3 linked regions of the Neodiprion lecontei genome follow. The protein of the gene in region 2 interacts with the protein of the main gene of each other region in a pairwise test. Links are inferred from orthologs where the notes say so. Each region holds a gene or a part of one and is shown on either strand. Other genes may lie near its edges.

Region 1 (7,143 bases), on a different chromosome or scaffold from region 2:
ATTCAAAAGAATTTACATATCGATTGTGGGATTGCAGATGGGAAATTGGTGGGAAGTGACGTGGTGGATGGAAATGTACCAAAGCGACGGTGTTCAGCGAATGGCAACGATGTGTCTAGATTCTGTTTGTCGCAACCTGAGATGCCCGGTATTGAAATAAACAAGATGGACTGTATGAACTTTGAACAAAGGCCAGGATTTTCTTTTTCCCAGCCTACAGACGTAGAGGATTTATTGCTATGCACGCCATTACAAACCACTCAACATACGCAGAGCGCAAGTCAGGTGAGAAAGTCGACAAAATGTTTCATTTTTAAAGTTATAGAAAAACTATAATTTCAGAAAACTATCCTTGAATTAATTGAAATTTTTTATTATCTGACAGAACACCTTTCAAAAATTAGCACGCCGTATGACTAGATTTTTCGTAAAAATGGACGGTGACAACTTTGCAAAGAAGCTGTTATCTGTTTTGGAAAATGAGGGATACACGTGTCGAGTCAGCGAAGTTGGTGTTGTAAGTTATTGCACTACTCTAAATAAACCTTTTGGTAACTTGAGTCAAGTTTGAGATAAAAGTTAAAAGTTACACTGATCATAGATTACCTACAAATTCTAACAAATCGCATCACAAGAAATTTTTTTCATCAAAATAATTGAAATTCTGCTAATATCTTCTTTCAGATCACAGTTGCAACTGTTGATAGACGGAAAATGCCTCTTGTTTTCAAAGCAAATATCGTTGATATGGATGGGAAAATACTCGTAGACTTTAGATTGTCCAAAGGATGCGGTATCGAGTTCAAACGAAGATTTGTTAAGATCAAAACTGATCTTGGAGACTTTGTTTCCAAAAGTACGGTTTCGTGGCCCATTGCTATTGCGAATCACGACATTGTGTCACAATCATGCTAGATTGACAAAGTAATTTTATATTAACAATATTCAATAATATACATTCTATTTTTCTACTGAATTTAAAATTTGATCTTTAATATTATACTCTTGATTATTTGGAGCTAGAATTCAACTTGCGTTTGTAACATTGAAAATCTACACAACACCTGTATGGAATAGCAATGGATTAACGTTGATTTCTGACGAGGTTTATTGAATAAAAGACGAGACAATCGTTCCTCTTACTGTCTTTATACACTTAACAATAGATATGAAAAATTTGTATTGAACATTTTGATGAATATACTGATGAACAATGATGACTGACGCTGATTGCAAATTTACCTTTCACTTGTTACTTCGATATATTATTATGAATTCAATACTTTGCTCCTTGACACTGAATTTCTGAATAAACGCAAATTACATCACATGTCTATTATATCACAAAATGTATACTTCTCATTAATTTTTAAAATATATTTACCTGAAATAGGAAAATTCGTATTATTTCAACAATTGTTTACCTCCGAAAGGTCCAAAGGAGATTTCAGTACGAAATATTACGCTATATTTGATTACTCTATTAAATCCGTTTAAAGACGAGTGGAACTTAAAATTGTCGACAGATCAATTATTTATCTCTTATTACTTTATTTACATATTTCACTTCACCGACGACGATACAATCATGGTTTATATTTGAATAGGAAATTTTTGTTGAAAACTTGGACGATACCACGCAAATATATTAAACCTCATCAGGTAAATAGTTCACGAATTTAGTCTGTATTCTTAAGATAGCTATTCCAGATTGGTGACAGCAGAATTCATTTGGACAATTAGTTTCAGTACTTTAAAGGTATCCAGATTTATAAAGTTCGCAATTCTACATTAAGAATTTTAAAATCGGATTTATTATTGCGAATTACTTAGTCGTGTGCATGTTCTAGAAAAATTTAATTCCAAATTAGTTGCTTTATCCTTTTGAGAAGGTCTTTCGGATACAGGAGAATTGATCGTTCATAACCGCTGATCTGAGATAGCTGGATTCCGTTAAGTCTATAATTATACCAAAAGAGTAGGCATCGGTTTTTTCCCGGGCCAAGCTTCCTTTGCGTACTTTTTTTTCTTAGGCTCTAATGAATGTGGCTCCGAAGATCCTGATATATCTGGAATGTGGGGCACCTCTGTTTGCATTTGGTGCGGCGCCATTTCTACCTCGGGAGCCGGGTTTGGTAAAGCTATACCAAGGCGAGAAGTCAGTGATGTCAGTGCTGTAGAAAACGGGTTACTAGACATCGACGAATGTGCGTTAGAGAACTGTTCTGGAGGTAAATCATGGTAGAGTTGTGGCATAACAGAACTTGGCTGAAGATGTTTCATCATATTGTGATGATTTTCCTCCGATAACGATATAAGGCCACCCTCCATGCGCATTCGCTAAAAGAAGAAAATATTAACAAATACTAATTAATCTCGACGACAATGAACTGAAAAGGCTGTTTGATTGGTCAATCGACAAAAAGAATAATTGAAAGGGTGAACGATTCCATTAATCGAAGTCTGATTAAATGCGCAGCCCTAATTACTACTATCAAATATTTTATTCTATTAGTTCCATTTATAGTAGGTAAGCATTACAAAATCGAGAACACAACTCGCCAAGAAAAAGTCTGAATTTTTTTAGGAACTTTTTTGTTGAAGCGCAAGGTATTCAGTGCAAGCACTACATTCCTAGTTAGAAAGAGATGGATATTAGCCGCAACTACCTCCATCTCCCTCGCACTTGCACAACGCAATTTCAGCACCATATGCACAGTCCATACTCTGTGTTTACGCTTATATTAACGTGAAGAGAGATTTGGAAGTCTCTCTTCTCCTTTTATCTTTGATTGATCGTTGGGAACTTAGGAAGTGATACCAAGGAGATTGACTTACTTTACTGGGAACAACAGTCGTTTGTACAAGATTCCGAAATCTACCAACAGATGGATCGACATCTTCAGGATTAATAACTTCCTCGTCGTCGTTGAATGTGATGCCCTTCTTTTTTCTCTTTCTCGTCGCTTTATGAACGTCATCATCCGTTATTCCCAACATCGAGATGCGTCTGTTATGGGCTGTATTAAATTCCGTCAAATTCTGTAGGAGTAAATTTTGAATTAGAAGCATGCTTAGTTATGACATTCAAAAGTTCAACTGCATTTCACGAACCATATCTTTATATACCGTATCGGTCAAGATTCTGAAATAATTCTATAAATACGTAGAACGATAATTGATTATGATATAACCAAAGTTCAAAATGCGTTAGTTATACAGCAAAAAAATTTTTCAATAACCTTAAAAAAACGTAGAAGTAATACAAACTTCATGTTCACTATTCACTAAAGATTATTATTTGGCATATCTTACATCAAGCTCAGTTTCAGTCTCCGGAAGCCCAAGTAAGCCACCGGCGTCATTATCTTCGGAAGATTTTTCTAGTTCTTCAATTATCGGTCTTGCCCCAGATTGCGGTCTCTCTCGAATAATGTAGTATCTTGTGGATGCGCCAAAATGAAAAGTACTGTCGATTGGTAACTGAGTCGGTTTGTTGGGATCTAGCCGCATATTTCCAATGTAAGTCCCATGTGCTGCAATTGAAAATTGTTAAGGCAAATTAATGAAGTAAAAGCTGAAGGTGGTTGGTTGACCAAAAATATATACTTTTCATTCATTTTATTACGAGATAGTCAGTCGTAATTTCTTTAGATATGCAAACAGAAAATGCTACAATTATAAACGAAAGCTTGGATATCGATGCTTTGTTTCAAATTGCTGCAAATTAATTAAAAGTGTAGTAGGTTCGTTTTCACTCTAGAATGGCTCATTTCACTAGGACATTTTTCTGGGATTTCCACAAACTCATAGAAATACTTTTTTTTAAATCATGTTGGCATCGCTAAACATTTAGCTTTACAAAATTGCGCAGATATTAATTGTGATCAAAAAATTACAATATTGAATTGACTACTAAAAAACAATAATCTTCTGAAAGGCCATCATAGAGCGAATTTGAACCTGTTAGATTTTTAACTGTTTCGAAGTTATTTTAAATGAAGCATTGATATTGAAGATTTTATCTGAAATTCCAGGATTTTCAATTTTCGCTTTTTTAAAGAAACCTTTGTAGTTTACGAATATAATAGGTTAATACATTCACCATGCACGACTATCTCATGATAAAATTTAAAACAACTATTGATTTGGACAATGGAACTCCTGAAATTATCAATACATGACATAATTAACACCATATGTGATACTCACTGCTACCAAGATCTACTAGAAACGCTCTGTTCAAATGCTTGTGGTAAACTAATGCTGCATGAACTCGGGAACACGAGGCGTGATCAATGCAGAAGTCGTTCATTTGCTGGTTGCGGCCGAATAAATAGCACTTCTTTTCATCCACCATCAATTTCTGGGAAGAGTTTAATTCATTTATAGAGTGATATACTTCTCAGTGGCTCTAAGAGTCTCAAATGGCGTTATTCGTCAGTGATATAGTGAATATGGTGGCTAAAACCACAAGAGTAGAGAAATCCTGCTGCGAAAAGAACTAATATTTGTATAATAATCAAAGAAAGCTTTTATAAACAAAAAAGTTCTTGAGTTTACCGGTTTCTTTAAAAACGTGAGAATCGACACTTCTTGAGAAGTAAATTACTGAAACACTAAATGCTTCTAGTAGGCGAATAAGGATATTACCTGGATTAATTTATCATCCTTTAATACATCCAAATGCAAACCAACCGGAGGTTTGCCAGCCCTGAAAACATAACCTGTTTACAATGTTTGTCATTCTGGTGTTTTGGGTCGGAAGATGCTTGTTATGAAAAATATTTTAGCTCAAATCATTTGTAATTCGGATACTATTGTATGAATTCCTATAATGTAATAATTTCTCGTAATAACATACCAGCTAGGTACTTCGTAATGATTCGCCATTATCTGTCATTTAGGTTGCGTACTTTTAATAAAACATCTATAACCTCAGTCTTCCTACGAATTTAGTAACCATTCTTAATTTCAAAGGAGATAAAGCGAATTTCTGACAAAAATATTTCGGGAAACAAACAAGGGCTGAGTCGATTACAGATTTTTAAGTCGACATTAAAAATAGCTCGGCAAGAACACGAATTAATAGAAAACAACTAATCAGTAGCTAGCTTCAAAGGGCGAAATACTCGGTAGGTAAGGGTAGAGTCCTTACAAGCTGCAGCGACCACTGAACTCTAGTACTATATAGAGTTGGCCTGCGACCTTCGAATGTGTTAAAAAATTTTATGCCAAAAAATTTCTCCCCAATTGCTTTTAATTGCTCTCTATTCTTTATTATTTGCTCCCATGCGGTTTTCGAGAAAATCCTAAAAAACGTTGCAGGTACCGTGAGTGGGTAACATTTCCAGTAAAGTGGCGCCATATTCAAACAAATATTGGTGCCCAGACGTTCTTTATGCCACCGAAACAGGATAAACCTTATACTGTACATGCTCTAAGGGATGAGCTTTGAGCTGCTCCTTAATTACTCCTATATATTATCTTAATTACTCATTGTTACTGTATTATTTTGATAAATTGCTTCTGCATTGTTTGCGAATGAATCAGAAACAAATGAAAAGAGGGTTTTCTCAAGGCGAAGTATGGCCGAATTCACTTTGATATATCTCTTAGACGAATTGAGGTGCGAATAATCTAATAATTTCCCCGCAAACCTCGCAATTTGCTCCTTCATAGTTTTCGTTAAAACTGGAAAAACAATGATGCATCTGACTTGTAGGTTATGTGGACGAGCGGTGAATTCGAAATTGTAGCGAAACAAAAAGATGCCGATGCGCTCCAGTAGGACTGGATAAAATTAGTAAAAATTACCAAATATATTACTCAAAAAAGTATCTTTAACTACCGATTCTATAGTATAAAATGCAGAAAATTCTGCTTCAATGCAAAAATAATTCAATCGGTAAGAGTAGTCAGTCAATGATGAAATCTGTCCACACCAAAATAGAATTATACACGGTATATGTATCGTATCAAGTTATTTAATATTCTATAAATACAATTCACACGGAATAAATATTGTATCGCATTATGTAATATTCTAATGAAACAAGTGTGATGATAATAAAAGTTAATGTGCTGTTTAGGTGATTATGTACACATTAATTTTTCTATGCTGCATATTTCTCGGAGGGTTCACCGGAGATTGAGGCGGGCGTTTATGGAAAATAACAGTTTTCAGTCAACGACTTTAGTCAACGAGCCAGAATTATCTATATAAATAGAGATAACAACAAATAGAGTGGGTAAGTGAATGATACAGCCAGTTAGTGATAAAAACAAAGACAAAAAATCAAGGTAGTACCCCTACCTACCTTTTTAGAAAATTGAATAAAGTTACAAATGAAAAATTGCAACATTAACGTAAGCAGTTTTGAATAGTCTATCATTCTGATTCTCTTCTGCGCATGTGTAAATGTATATGCAACAAGGATAGATAGAGGTATACTTCAATTTGCTTTCCCTTTTTATTCGCACAACCTTTGTACTATGCTAACCCCTGCATCTTGCCCACTCCATTTGTTATTATCTCTATGGTTATTCAACTTGATTGAGCCACAGTTATCATTGGACAAACAGCATGTATTTTAAAACAGAGTACACAACTACATTCGTAATGAAGATCTGTAAATCGTGTCAAATAAGCCAATCAGAACTGACAATTGAATCGCAATCGTATGTTTATCATGTTTAATCCCTGTTCATCCTTATCCATACGGCATGTTTGTCGTGCTGAAACAACAGTAACGGCAGAGGTGATGTGAATTCCTTGAATGTCACACACGATTCGAGCAATTCCTTTTTGAAATACGATCGCATCGAGACATTTTCATAATGAGAATTTTGAATTTGTTTATTACAACACTAATAGTAGCTACGGGTTGCTTACCGGCGAATTCGATTCAAACATTTACTAAAACCACTCCACTCGTTGTAACAACATGGGATTACTGGAACGCCACAGACAAAGGTACAACCAACGATGAAGAAATTTCTTACTTGAATTTTACGTTACATTAAGACTTACTTATACTTGAATTTTGTGCTTTTTTATTCATTATTCGCTTCTAATTGTTTCAGAATAAAACTTTTCTCCAAATAGTGTAACAGCACTGTGAAATTCGACTTGAAATTTTA
Region 2 (7,848 bases):
AAGATATTTGTCAGGCGAAGGAAGAATGCTGTTGCTTACTGCAAGCGCACGTTCAATAGTGAATGGTGATTCTGGTTCTATGTCAGCGCCGTGTCTCTCCTGGCAAATGTCTATCATGCAGGCTAGCAGATGTATGCTCCGCGAGCCTCCTGCATACAATGCTTCGCAACTCTCGAGGACTTTTTTATTTCGCCCGAGTCCGCCTTCACCATCGTGCTGCAAGATGCTAATGAGAAAAAAGGCGAGAAAATAAGCAATGTCAAAATTTTACTTGGCGCTTGGTAGTTCGCAATCAATACTTGCATGAACTGTCACATTACAAGTGAATTTTTTTCTTTCCTCATTACCAGAAATATGTAAATCAATGTGACTATATTTTTTTGGCTACAGATACGAACCCTCTAAGATAATTCCATGCACTTTCATTCCCCTTGACTAGCTCGATTTTCTTCAAAGTATAATCAACTTCTCGTTCAATAACATGCGGCTCAAACTTTGTTGTATTATTCAAGACAAAGTAGCGTTGATTCCAAGCAGAATTATTTCTCACGTCGGCGTCCAGCAGTTGCTCAACATATTCCAACTCTCCGTCAAACAAACTGGCAATTGAATATGCACGTTTATTACTCTAGTAAGCAATTTTTTGTGCTTGAACAGAATACTACTTACGCTAAGAAAAATAAATTCGTAAAAAATACTTGCTTGAAAGTTTTTATAATCCATTGGCGATGCTGCCACGCATGATAATTCTTCGCATCCTTTTTCAGTACATTTTCAGTCAGAGCTAAGTCCAAGCTTGGATCTTGGAGCCATTCCACGATTACCCTCCGGTGATGCCATACTTGGTAGTTTTTTGGAGTTCTTCTAATCATTGTTTCTATATACTTGAGTTCGTTCCAGAGGTTCTTGTCCAGTGCTTTCAATATCTCTCTCCTGTACTGCCATACCGTATAATTTGCTGAATTCAGCGTTATGCAGTCCCCCGTTAAGTTCAGAGCTCGCTCAGACTTTTCGCCAGACTTCAGAATGGCTCTGAAGTAATCGTATGCATCTTTGACTGTGAAAACGGTTTGAAACTTGATAGTTTTTATCAATTCAAATCGAAATTTGCATGATTCACATCGTCGATTTTGCGTTGATCTCAACTGTTTATAAGCTAAATTATAATAGGTTACATCCACATTGTGGACCCACCTGATCGGTTATATTCTGAAAGTTTCGTGATTCGAATCTGACGCATAAACTACCAAGAAATAATTGACGAAACAATTGAACGAATTGAATATTTAAATATCTTACATGTTTCGGAATAGGCAATCGCGACAATTGGGTGAGGTCCATCATCCTGTGGAACAGGCGTAACGTCCTTCCATTCATTTCTGTCCCTGTAGAAAACCCAGGTGCTCGATATTTCTTCTTCTTCAGAAGAGTCAGACATATTTTCACCCGGCAAACGTGGTCATAAGAATTTTAACTAAACCCGCTCGACTTTAGCTATCGTCCTCTTTTCTTAATCCCACCCGATTTCTACCCGTATTCCACGTTCGGGTCCTACTGTATAATCTCACCGCATATCTCACAACCGCAAAGCCGCGGTCGCGAATTTCAGTGCTACCAACTTAGGTTTAATAAACAAAATCAAAGTCATGCGCATCGACATATAGGTATATGTCCGTGGTCATGCGTTCCCAGCCATCGAGGCATAATAAACAAAATTGAAGCGGTGCGATCCGAAATTACGCGTGACTTACAGAACACTATCGTATCGGTCTATTGACCATGAAATAATCATACAGAAGAATTATAGAGACGAATTATAAGGCAAAATTAGAGAATGTTAGGTAGAATCTGACAAACGGAACTGCGTGATGTGATATATTTAAATATACCGTAGTGGAGTACTGGATAGCATACGCGCCATTGAAAATGTGTATACATGTGTAGATGGCGCTTATAATAGTTTTCACCATGGTTTTACATACAGACCGTGGTTTTCACGAGTGAAAAATGTCAGAATCAGGACCCAGTATCGGCAGTCAGTAACCTCGGTTTCGGAACACACGTTGCGTCGGGATTAGGCCGAGTGAAGACTTCGGAACGCGCGTATATCGCAAGGTCAAGAAAAAGAAGTTAGCGGCATCTGGTGAGTGCTTGTGAATGTAGTGTGTGGTCGAGGGTCAAGCCTCCAGGGCGAAGCGCCTAGTGGAAACAAGGAACTATAGATCTACTTGTTCCGACAAACGACTTCCTAGGAGTTGGGACCTAGAGTAGTGCAGAAAAAATGGCGGATGCGGACTTGGATATCGACAATCTGATACAGAGATTGCTTGAAGGTACGTCTAAAATATAATATAACGATACGGATGTCATGGCCAAAGTAATACCGTCTATCGCATCTCTTTACTAACATACGCCGAGCCTTTATTTCCCATGATATTTCACGTTATAATCGTAAACCAATTATATGCTGTCTAGTGTGTTTTCTATACTAGCAATGAAAAATATCACTTCTTTCCTATACTCTCTTATCTCTTCTCTTTCTTCCCACATTACCGCTACTATTTCTCAGTCTATTCGTACATTATTATGAAAGAAACGTCGTTGGCTCACTCCACACTTGTCAGCTGTTTCCTATAACAGAGAAAAATTGGAAATAAACGACTAATTGTTGTCTTAACGGACACCGTTTGTCGGTATGGACACATCGTATATTGATTTTTTATTTGTTTTCGTAAAATTTTCTGTTTTTTTTCTCTGTCATGCTAACCGTATTTGTGGGGATGATCTTTTGCGGTAAAGTATATCAAACGCAGAAAGAACAGGTTCAGAAAAAGGCTAAACTTAAAGACATTTTTACCTCAGACTTTGTCGGTATGCCAATTTATTAATATATTAAAAAAAATTTTTTCTCATTGTTAATTTTTTCTTTTTTATTTCACCGTTACCATTTACCAAATGCATCCACATTAATTGTTATCGATATATCTATCAGTTTGCGTTCTCACACTATTGAATGCAACATCAGCACCAATCCTCCCTTTTCTTCATGTATCAATCTCGTATTTCGATACACACGGTCGAGCTCACACAAACCTTACACAGTGAAACGCTCGTCTTGAGAACAAAGTTCCATACCACTTCCAGCAATATTGTTTACCTTGCAAGATTTGCTAAATATAGATTTTATACTCCAAACACCACGTGGCTTTGCTCGGATTAGACTTGGGCTTCAAATTAAATTCGTCATCACCAAGGGGAACTAAATCTAGAACTATGTTTGTACGTTCTTGTCTTGCGACATTCATTTTAGTCAACTTCAGCAGTATATTTCTTTCAATATCTTGCCGTCGCTCTGTTAATTATCATTTTTATCTTTGTTGCTAGGCGCATGTCTTGTCTATATACATAAATTGCTAGTTACGTTTTCTTTCTATTGATAATTACCATCAGATGTAGTCCTTCTAACATTTAAAAAAGAAGAAAAAAAAAAACAATAGGTAAGAACTCGAGCTCTGCATAACAGAGAACTTGCTAAGTGCGGTAAATTTTCATTGCAACATGACAGGAAAACAAAAAGATTAGACTTTTATCCACTGTTCGCATTATTCTATCCAATAAGTACAGGATGTAGTGTCATTGGTGATACGACGACCTATCTATACATTTTATTTCGTAATAGTTACAGTCATCGTCATGCAAAAGTGATCCAACTACACTGCATAGGCCTTCAAAGTCGTCTATAAATAACAAATTAACACTACCAAGCTGGAGAACATCTGCTTTATTTTGATTACGTCACTGTAAATACAGTCCATCTAAACTTTGCTTCGTTAAATTTTGTTTCTTCATTTTGTTTTGAAGATATTCTTTAACGACGGCGATCAACTAGTTGCTTATTCTTCGAAAAGTAACTAACTGTAACACAATATCCGACAGTCATTTCTAGCTTGTATAATAAAGCACAGAGAATTTTCTTTTCTTTTTATTACGTAGGTAACAGAATATTTGGTCACTTAACTTGTGGGTAGTATTCCAGCACTCCCCCCTGATCTTGAAATACTTTTAGCAACATCTCTTGGCAGAATGTCACCACACTTTTGCATAATTACTTTTTGATTTCCTTTCTCTATCGTCGTTCCAGTATAAACGCAACGGTACTGTATAGTTGTAAATTACCAAACTGTATAGATAGATAGTAACGTAGTTATACATCGTAGAAAATAAAGATCCCAAAAAAAGATTTGATTAAATTAACCCTTTTAGCGTAGCATTTTGTAAAAAGTTAGTTTTCGGCACAACAAACTATTAAAGCCGTACAATTTATATCATAGTAGAGAGCATCAACGTTCTATGAAATCATAATTCATTCATTGTTAAACTTGCAAAGCTGATGTTGAAAAAATAAATCTGCCTCGATGTTATGACTCTACTAGCGAATACCGCTGACTATAAACTCGAAAATTTTGGACACAGTGCGAGGATGTCGACCTGGGAAATCGGTGGTAATGACAGAGGCCGAAGTGAGAGGCCTCTGTCTGAAATCGCGGGAGATATTCCTTCAGCAGCCGATACTACTGGAGCTCGAAGCACCGCTTAAAATATGCGGCGATATTCACGGCCAGTACACAGACCTGCTGCGGCTATTTGAGTACGGCGGATTTCCTCCAGAGGCAAACTATCTCTTTCTAGGTGACTACGTCGACAGAGGCAAACAGTCTCTGGAAACGATATGCCTGTTACTCGCCTACAAGATCAAATACCCAGAAAACTTCTTCTTGCTAAGAGGAAACCACGAATGCGCCAGCATAAACAGGATATACGGATTTTACGACGAATGTAAACGCAGATATAATATAAAACTGTGGAAAACCTTTACCGATTGCTTCAACTGCTTACCCATCGCCGCTATTATCGATGAAAAGATATTCTGCTGCCACGGCGGACTCAGTCCTGATCTCCAGGTGATTATTTAATTCGTATTTTTGAGAAAAGTTTGAACACTTTTCAGGAAAAGTTAGATGCAAAAACAAAAATTACATCAAATGATTAAACGTAACGAGTAACATTGGTTTTACAGGGAATGGAGCAAATCAGAAGAATCATGCGTCCAACCGATGTTCCAGATACAGGACTTTTATGCGATCTCCTTTGGTCTGACCCCGACAAAGATGTTCAGGTGTGTATAAAATGTATTAGAATACGCCGGGTGTAGCAGGATACAGCGTGTTACCTGTCTCTATTTATATCGTTGTGTAATAACTTATCAGATGGTTCGAAGCAACGGTGTACAGCACACGACTGTCTAAACACGCCTACAATGTTGATTCTGAGCTGCGTCCAGCAAGATTTTACAATGCGATGTAATGTGAGGCTGTTTTTCTCTCCCGCAGGGATGGGGCGAGAACGACAGAGGCGTATCTTTCACATTCGGACCTGACGTAGTTTCCAAATTCCTAAGTCGACACGATATGGATCTCATATGCAGAGCTCACCAGGTCGTCGAAGATGGTTACGAATTTTTTGCTAAAAGGCAGCTCGTCACACTTTTCTCAGCTCCGAATTACTGCGGGGAATTCGACAACGCCGGCGGAATGATGAGCGTCGACGAAACTCTGATGTGCAGTTTTCAGGTAATCTTCACTTTTCGTTTCTTATTCACCAGCGAAGATGACCGATTACTTTGATGCCCCTTTTCTACATTGTTCGATTTAAAATAAAAACAGATCCTGAAACCTTCTGAAAAAAAAGCAAAATACCAGTACAGTGGAATGACTGCGCAAGGTGGCAGGCCATCTACGCCGCAGAGGAATCCAACAAAAAAGAAATGACCACCTTTCGCTGATCCCGCGTAGCAGCAAACACTTTCGTTCTAGGTAAGATGATTATAGAGAGAGAGAGAAAAAAACAAACAAGTATATTAATAAATATCTAATTTTTTATCTATTCAGACTGAATGATTTACGATGCAAATACTGTGAATACTTACGTCACATGATAAAATCGATCCCTGTGAATATAGAACACTGCAACAGGCCTCCTAAACGTCTTAGACTCGATTTGCAAAAAAATTTAAAAGAAAACGAAGAAAAGTTAAACTCCACTGGGAGACCTGCCATAAGTTCTCTTTTGATCTTTAGCTATTTTTCAGCTGATAGAATTTTCATCGCCTTTCAATGAATAACGCGTTTTACTGAAAATATATAACGCCGGAAAGGAGGCAAGGGTTCAGTGACACATATTGAAGGAAGTAACCTAGTCTCTACAATTATAATTAAACAAATCAGATTATATTTATTAAATTATTGTTAATAATTGAATCAGTGGCAGTTATAGACGATAATCACGACTCATGAATCACTGCGGTGAACGATTTGAAGAAAAGTATATAAATAGATGGGAGGAGCTTTAACTTACATTGAACGACGACGTCGGACGTTTTCAGTTAACTTTTCCGTGCATTGATCTCGCTTTGCTTTAGTTTATAAAATAACATTACCTCTTTTAAATCCAAAATTAATCAGCCATACTGAGTCCTGAAGATTCCAGAGACATTTAACCTGCTTAAATCCTAAATCATACCAACAATGTGAGTAAAAGTTGACCGAAATCCGTAGAATATTGGACTTGATTTTATTTTTCTATATGTTTCAGCTGTGGAACGTGTCACTACAGTATGTACACTAACTAAAAACTCATAATTCAAAACGAAACGAAATAAAATGAAAAAAAAAAAATAAACAGAAAACTTGAATACTTAAAACGGGAAACGACATCTTCCTTATTACATCTCAATTACACTATTATCGCAGGATGCTTCTTTGTATAAAATATCGATCAATATATACATTTTTTTTTTTTTTGTTCCTCTAGTTAGAAAAAGTCACTTTATCGACTGCCCAATTTGTTTATAAGGTGAACAAAATCAGCGAGTTCCGTCAACATAAGCACTAAAAAATAGCACATGTACTTCATATACTTGCTACCATTCTCAGTAACAGTTATTCATTTTCTCTTACATGATGATCGATCCTTTTCTATTTCACTCATTTTTGCGTTTAGCAGCATTTTTACTCCTAATTATTTATTATTACTATTTGTTCGTTCAATTTCGACAGGCAGGTTTATATATATATATATTTTTTTTTTTTTGCCTCGTCCTAACTTAATTATTGATAAACACTCAGCATACACAAGGAACGCCATACATACGACTATACCTTCGTGTAAATTATTGTTATTATTATCATCATTATCATCGTCATCATTGTTATTAATAATGTTATCATTATTATTATTATTGTTATTATTATTTTAATTATTATTACCGTCGGAAATCATCTTTTCTTAATCGCTTATTTATTTTCGAACGTAGCATTGTATCCTACAATTTACGGACTGAGGCAGAAAAAAGAATATTCAGTGTAATAGCTGTCGAATTGAACCGCGTATAACATAGAGGACACAATGCTTACATAAAAATAGTCGGGTAATATGTACTACGATACTGTAATAGGGAAAAAGAAAAAAATTCTTTTGAATATGAATAGTTTTCAGTTACACACATACATTATTATTATTATTAATATAACATAAATATATATCATAAATATACATGTGTGTATATATATATATATGTATATACATATATGCATTTAAGACCACAAATGAGAAACAAATACAAGAAAAAGAACGGAAAAAAAACAACAAATTTATAAAAATGAAAAAAAGCCCCAGTATTTTAATGACTCTAAGATGATGCTTCTACAACTAAATACGCCTTTATTCGACGTGTATTTTAAGGGGATTTAAATCATTAGTAAGAGACAAAATGAATAAAGTAAAAGATGA
Region 3 (5,610 bases), on a different chromosome or scaffold from region 2:
AGACAAAATATTGAGTCGCGAAAATCGCGCCGGTGCGTAAGAAATACTAAACAGAAGGCCGAACCTTGCTTGTCCTTTTCAGCGATGTCGTGAGTCCTTATAAGGTAACTCAGCTCCTTGAGGTCCCCGTGAAAAATAGATTTGTGAAGTGGATAAGGCTCGTCCGATGTTTCCGCCATGTTTGTTCTTTCCTAATTATTCGAAAGCTGCAGCTGCTGCATGCGATTCTGATCGTCCCTAATCGGCGATCAGCGAAGTTTCACTCTGGCCGTTAAAATTAAATCTCGGATAATATCCCCCGTCGATCGTCATCCTTATCTTCGTATCCGTTCCACTCCCATCATCCTCACTCTCTTATGCACCGCTGTTATTGCTGTCGCGTCGTCGACGTTCAATGATGACGTTTAACGTCGGTGATACACGTTTAACCCGTTTAACTCGCGGCTAGTTTCCGCGATGATACCGTGCAATCACACCGACGAGCTGTAGTCGATTCACTGCCGAACATGCCGGACATGCCTTCCGTCCTCGCTCGTCGACGCCGCTCTTTTTCACCCGAGGATTTGCAAACGTTGCGCGTTCGACGCGCTGTTTATTATATCAGAGCTGGCGTGTTTCAGTTTCGGTCAGGCGATAAGGGCCGCGGGATTTAAACTATAATAAGTACTATACTTCTACATACTCGAAATTTAACCGGCCGAAATACGAATCTCTTCACAACCGAGAGGCTTGCAACACGCAAGTGACGCAAACCGTGCGCTCGCGGCTCACACAAGCCAGCGCTTTTTATGTTCCCCCTCTAGTAACGTCCTCTGAAACGAAATAACATTATAGAACTAATTTTCGAGGGGTCTGGAAGGTAAATGCATGTCTCGTGATCTCGTGATGATAATACAGAGCATATTTACTTACCGTAGCGAGGTCTTCACGTTTTCCCGCGCAAGCGTCGCTGCTCCAGCCCTAACTTCAGGCCAGCGCTAACTTCAGGCCAGCGTTGCCAAATATCTTTAGATTTCTTATTTAGATGGCATCACAATAATTCTTCATATTTATCATTTTCAATAGTAATGTTTGACGGTATTGAAAGTCATTAAATACAAGAATACATATTGTGTTTGATTTTTTCACTTTGTGACATGGGCAATTTTTTTTCAAATATATAACAGTAATTACCGTACGAGGTAAAACACTGTTTTGCAAATTTGTAAATCGTAATGAAACGAAACGTATTCATATTTTGTAATCCTAGTTACTTCAAAATCATTGTAACAAAAATATAAATATACACAGAAAAATCGTATTCACGTTTTTATTCATTCGTAATCAATAATATGTACTGTCTCACGAATGCTGTAACGCTCAAAACGCGTTTAGCGTAATTCCAAACCCAGGTCCAGTCATGCGATGGAGATTCACTAACAGGCGATGAATAATGTTTTACCAGAAATTGAAAACACATAAAATTTGTTAATGTTTACTATTTTTGTTGTTTTCACCACTGCTGGCTCACCTTGCTATGGTAAAGATGATCTGTCTTATTCGCTGCTTTTGTGGAGCTAAAAGTACGGTAGAGTGTGAGTCGTTAACCGACACGGGCTTAATTAACTGTCAGAAAAAACACAGCCAAAATGAGGAGACACGGAAATCGGGAGTTATGTGACCTGATCAAGCATGCCAATTTGATCGGCGTTTGTTTTCCCTCATATCTATGGCTCGGTGATTTGCCGTTCTGAAAACATCAACCCCACCGATAGCAGATAAAAATAAATGAATTAATAATTATAAACTAGGTCATAAACATCTAGGTGAACAGTAGAGAATGATTTACTGCCTTTTCTTATTACTATTAATCATGGTTTTTTGCTGATTCGAAGTTCACGGTACGACTGTATCATTCTAGGCGATACATTATTGTCCTACTCTTACCGACCAAATCAATTGAACGTGACGTCATTGATTCACCTGACTTATTAATGACAGATTAATGACTCATTCCTCCAACGTTAATCGAAGTTTAAACTAAGTTCAGCCTATCTCCAAACTATGCTGTCAAAATTGAACGCCGTTTAAACTGCGTCGGAGGAAACGGGCGTTAGTTTGATTACAAGCTATCGGAAGAGAAGCTTTGTGAGACTATTTAGCTGCTTCGAATGACACGGCTCGTTCAATTCCCCCTAAAATTACGGGGAATTGACATTATATTTCAAGTGGAGGTACGAAAATCATTTCAGACAACGAACCTTGAAAAATCCGAACGATCTATGATTCGGTCGGTAACAGGTAATGATAGAGCTGTGCGCATCGCTTCGACACGTGATTCTGCATACGCATTACACACTACCGACCTTTGTATACACACGAAGAAGACTCACTTTAGTAAACACAAGGTAGGCGTACTTTGCGCGTAGAATTTCATTTGTCAAAGCGAGTGGCTGATGTTCAGCGGAACGGTTAGTAGGACTCGCCCATTCAAGATGGCACTCTGACGTCGCGTTGAAATGTGTCATTTTCGGGAAATAATTTGATATTGCTGAATTTTGACGCTGTATAACGCGATGGGAACACCCGAGAAGTGTGAGTCGCTGTCCGTCGCACGCTTGGCGCTCAATTTTCACTATTTTTAATTTCGGCGCATATTAATTACGGTAAATCGCGTTCGGTCTTTTTCGCGACCTCCAGTTTAAAGCGAGAAATTAAGTTTCCAAGAAAAATCAGTAGCTGGTAGATAAACGAAGGTAGGTGGTGTTCAAACGTCACCAGGTTTTTCTTTGTTTAGAATAACAACAGCATCGTTAATCGCTCCTGCATAACTACACTTTCAACTTTATCGCTACGTGCAATTTATCAGCACATTTGTGACATGCAAATGCATGCTCATAGTATTTGTGAAAATCTAGTTACATAGGTATGCCAAGAGTTGGTTTACACCCCATGCTTATCTAATCCCTCGCTCCGTGTTGTCGGACAATTTTCAGCTACGATTTTTCATCCACTATTATCAGTCGCACAAAACGTAACGTCAACCGAGGAGAACACCATGGAAAAGTTTGCTGTGGATATCGACAAAGTACTTGACGAGCTCGAATTCAACGAAGGTTAGCAATCCAATTTGCTTCCCTTTATAAAGGATTTTATAACGCATTCTTAGGGGAAAATAGAAACCATTCTTCCCGGAATGTAACATTTGAGTCGGCGTGTCTGTACATGAGGGAAATAATAGAATTCCAATAATCTCAGGAAATTATACTTTATGCAACAGTCACTGGAAATGTTTTGTATATATTTTTCAGTGTGTGTTTATTTTTTATTTTCCTTTATTTATCATGTATAACATGGTATATAAACATGAGGATAAACTTTTTTACGCTACTCATAATCAACATCCTTCGATAAACAAGCTGCACTTTTCTTTCCAATGTGGTTTATATGGTATCTTGTCTTCTGGACATGTCTTAATTCATAGTGCAAATACTGCATTATAAACTTCGATCTTTAAACATGATAAAAAAAAATTTTGTTTGAACATAATGATCACTGTATACTTTATCATCCATGCTTATCTTGAACAGAATCTGTTTTTAGACTGCATTACAATTTTTGGAGGAAATTAAGAACACATTGCATGAATTTTCAATTCGAGTTCTCCTTTTTGGCTTGAAGGTTTTTTCTATCTCCAATCATTGTTCACATCCAGAATTGAATTTTTATTTTCAGATCGTGCTGAACAAATTGCGTCTATTCCATTGCCTGGAAATAACGTTAACGTTGATCGTCAATCCCAATGTTTACCTCAAAGAAATCACAATCAAGCAGCCTTTGAGACTGTGATTGTGCCAAACGTAACACCAAGTGAGAGCCTAGATGAAACGGCTGATGTTCATAGGAGTTCGGATGTCAAAAGGTACGGGGAGTATGATAAAAACACTCGTGACTTAAATATTCAAAAAGGATTTGCAAGATACGACAGCACAGATGTGGGGAATAATTTTTATTCCCAGGAATCCTCGTCAGCAAATAAAATACAGCACAAACAGTCTGTCGAAAGCTATGATTCTGACGCCCAAACGTTGACGATACACAACGACATAGCGCAAAAGCCTCTACAGAAAAAACAAAATGATGCTAGTGGTATTAGTAGTAATAGTAACAATAGTAACAATAGTACCAAATTGAAAAACAGTTACGACAAGAAATTAAACCAGCCTAATGCCAAACCAAGTGTGAGCAATGTGTTTAGCAGTTTAAACGAATACATAAATGCATCTAGTGCTAAAGTTGATAATGTAGATAATATAGTTATTCGAGAAGATACCGGTCACAAGGTGCGCGATGGAGATTCACTTCAAATTAGCGATACGACAAAAGATCTTAATGTTGTTAAAGATAACTGCGGTAACTCGTCGAGCTATACTTCAGAGAGCAGAGTAGAATCAAACATAGAATGCAGAAGAGACGCTGTTAGCAGTGTTAGAAAAATCTCAACTGTCGTACCGCCAGAGTATCAAAATATTTTATTACCCGTTAAATTAGAAACCGCGTTGTCCGACGCTAGAGAAACCAACGAAGTTAAACTTGAGGAGAATATCAGTTTGTTACCAAATTTACGTGAAATTGACAAAGAACCTTTGTATACAAACACAACTTTGCCGACTGTTGTCGACAGGCCGAAAGAGTCAAAAAGTATTATAGACAGGCCTGAGCACGTTTACGAAAACGTTTACATCGGCACGGACATTCCGAAACCGCAGGAACTGTACACGACGGTTAATAAAGCGAAACCGAAGCCACCCGAGCTCAAAGCTCAAGAAGAGATAAAGCACACGTACGAAAACGTGGACTTTGACGAGCCAAAGAAAGTGGGAAAGACTGACGGCAAAGAAAACGTGTACGAGTGCATATATATTGGTAACAGAGAAAATTTTCCAGAAACAACGACGGAGTTAGAAATAGCAGCTAAAAAAATAACCGACCAATTACACGTGAGTGAGAAAAATTCGGACACCGAGGCCAAAGGGATTAATCTTGCCAAGCTGGTATTTCAAACTGTACAACTTGGCACACCGGAGACGGAAACCAAACCGGTCGGCTTCAGTCATATTGACGATTTATCGGAGGAAGAATTGAACAAGTATTTGGCAGATTTGGAGGCTGAAGAAAGAGCCCAGGAAGCGACGACGTCATTCGAAAATTCGGTACCGAGCTCATATCGAGATTCCGACAATCTAGCGAAAAACAAATTTCAAACTATGCGTGACGATGAGGACGCGAACGAAGCGCCAATATTTGAAAGCGTTACTATTGGCGAATTGCCGGAAGTATCGAGTGTAGAATTGTTGGAAAAAGCCAAAAAATTTCCTGTCATCGACTACAGTAAGAGCGGTCCGAGCAGCGAAGGGACTGCAGATTTTTTAGTGAGGAAAGGTTCCGAAAAATTTTCCGAACATACAAAGGTTATTTCCGAAGCGAAGGAAGAGAAGGGAAAGGGAAGAAAAAGCAAAAGGACCAATGAGAAAATGAGGAAAACCTCGGATAATTCGGAACCGAGTGCTGAAAACATTAGAACTGAAGACGATGATCTGAAACCTGTCGAAGTCGAGGAGGTTAGCGTAG

The links.
Region 1: the proteins of serine/threonine-protein phosphatase PP1-beta catalytic subunit (region 2) and nuclear inhibitor of protein phosphatase 1 interact in a two-hybrid assay, tested with the Drosophila melanogaster proteins (2 studies listed by BioGRID). The link is inferred for Neodiprion lecontei from reciprocal best matches to the Drosophila melanogaster genes flw and NiPp1.
Region 3: the proteins of serine/threonine-protein phosphatase PP1-beta catalytic subunit (region 2) and zinc finger FYVE domain-containing protein 9 interact in a two-hybrid assay, tested with the Drosophila melanogaster proteins (2 studies listed by BioGRID). The link is inferred for Neodiprion lecontei from reciprocal best matches to the Drosophila melanogaster genes flw and Sara.

Annotation. Positions count from the first base shown.
Region 1 is NC_060261.1:17,296,693-17,303,835, reverse strand, and holds nuclear inhibitor of protein phosphatase 1, read right to left. Parts: upstream 5,109-7,143; 5' UTR 4,894-5,108; coding exon 4,865-4,893; intron 4,728-4,864; exon of another isoform or gene 4,715-4,727; coding exon 4,654-4,714; intron 4,367-4,653; coding exon 4,213-4,366; intron 3,537-4,212; coding exon 3,316-3,536; intron 3,043-3,315; coding exon 2,839-3,042; intron 2,341-2,838; coding exon 1,966-2,340; 3' UTR 977-1,965; downstream 1-976. Other genes in the region: serine/threonine-protein kinase grp, read left to right, coding at 38-285, 386-517, 685-915; N(4)-(Beta-N-acetylglucosaminyl)-L-asparaginase, read left to right, coding at 6,841-6,976.
Region 2 is NC_060265.1:28,570,099-28,577,946, reverse strand, and holds serine/threonine-protein phosphatase PP1-beta catalytic subunit, read left to right. Parts: upstream 1-2,060; 5' UTR 2,061-2,281; coding exon 2,282-2,333; intron 2,334-2,799; coding exon 2,800-2,871; intron 2,872-4,473; coding exon 4,474-4,961; intron 4,962-5,077; coding exon 5,078-5,176; intron 5,177-5,390; coding exon 5,391-5,630; intron 5,631-5,723; coding exon 5,724-5,828; 3' UTR 5,829-5,873; exon of another isoform or gene 5,874-5,948; 3' UTR 5,949-6,804; downstream 6,805-7,848. Other genes in the region: protein farnesyltransferase/geranylgeranyltransferase type-1 subunit alpha, read right to left, coding at 40-226, 399-599, 703-1,057, 1,300-1,438. UniProt on the Drosophila melanogaster protein: Required for cell adhesion in non-muscle tissues and in maintenance of muscle attachment. Vital for larval development.
Region 3 is NC_060266.1:4,607,538-4,613,147, reverse strand, and holds the start of zinc finger FYVE domain-containing protein 9, read left to right. Parts: upstream 1-2,457; 5' UTR 2,458-2,555; coding exon 2,556-2,574; exon of another isoform or gene 2,575-2,735; intron 2,736-2,975; coding exon 2,976-3,095; intron 3,096-3,714; coding exon 3,715-5,610. Other genes in the region: ankyrin repeat domain-containing protein 13C, read right to left, coding at 65-179.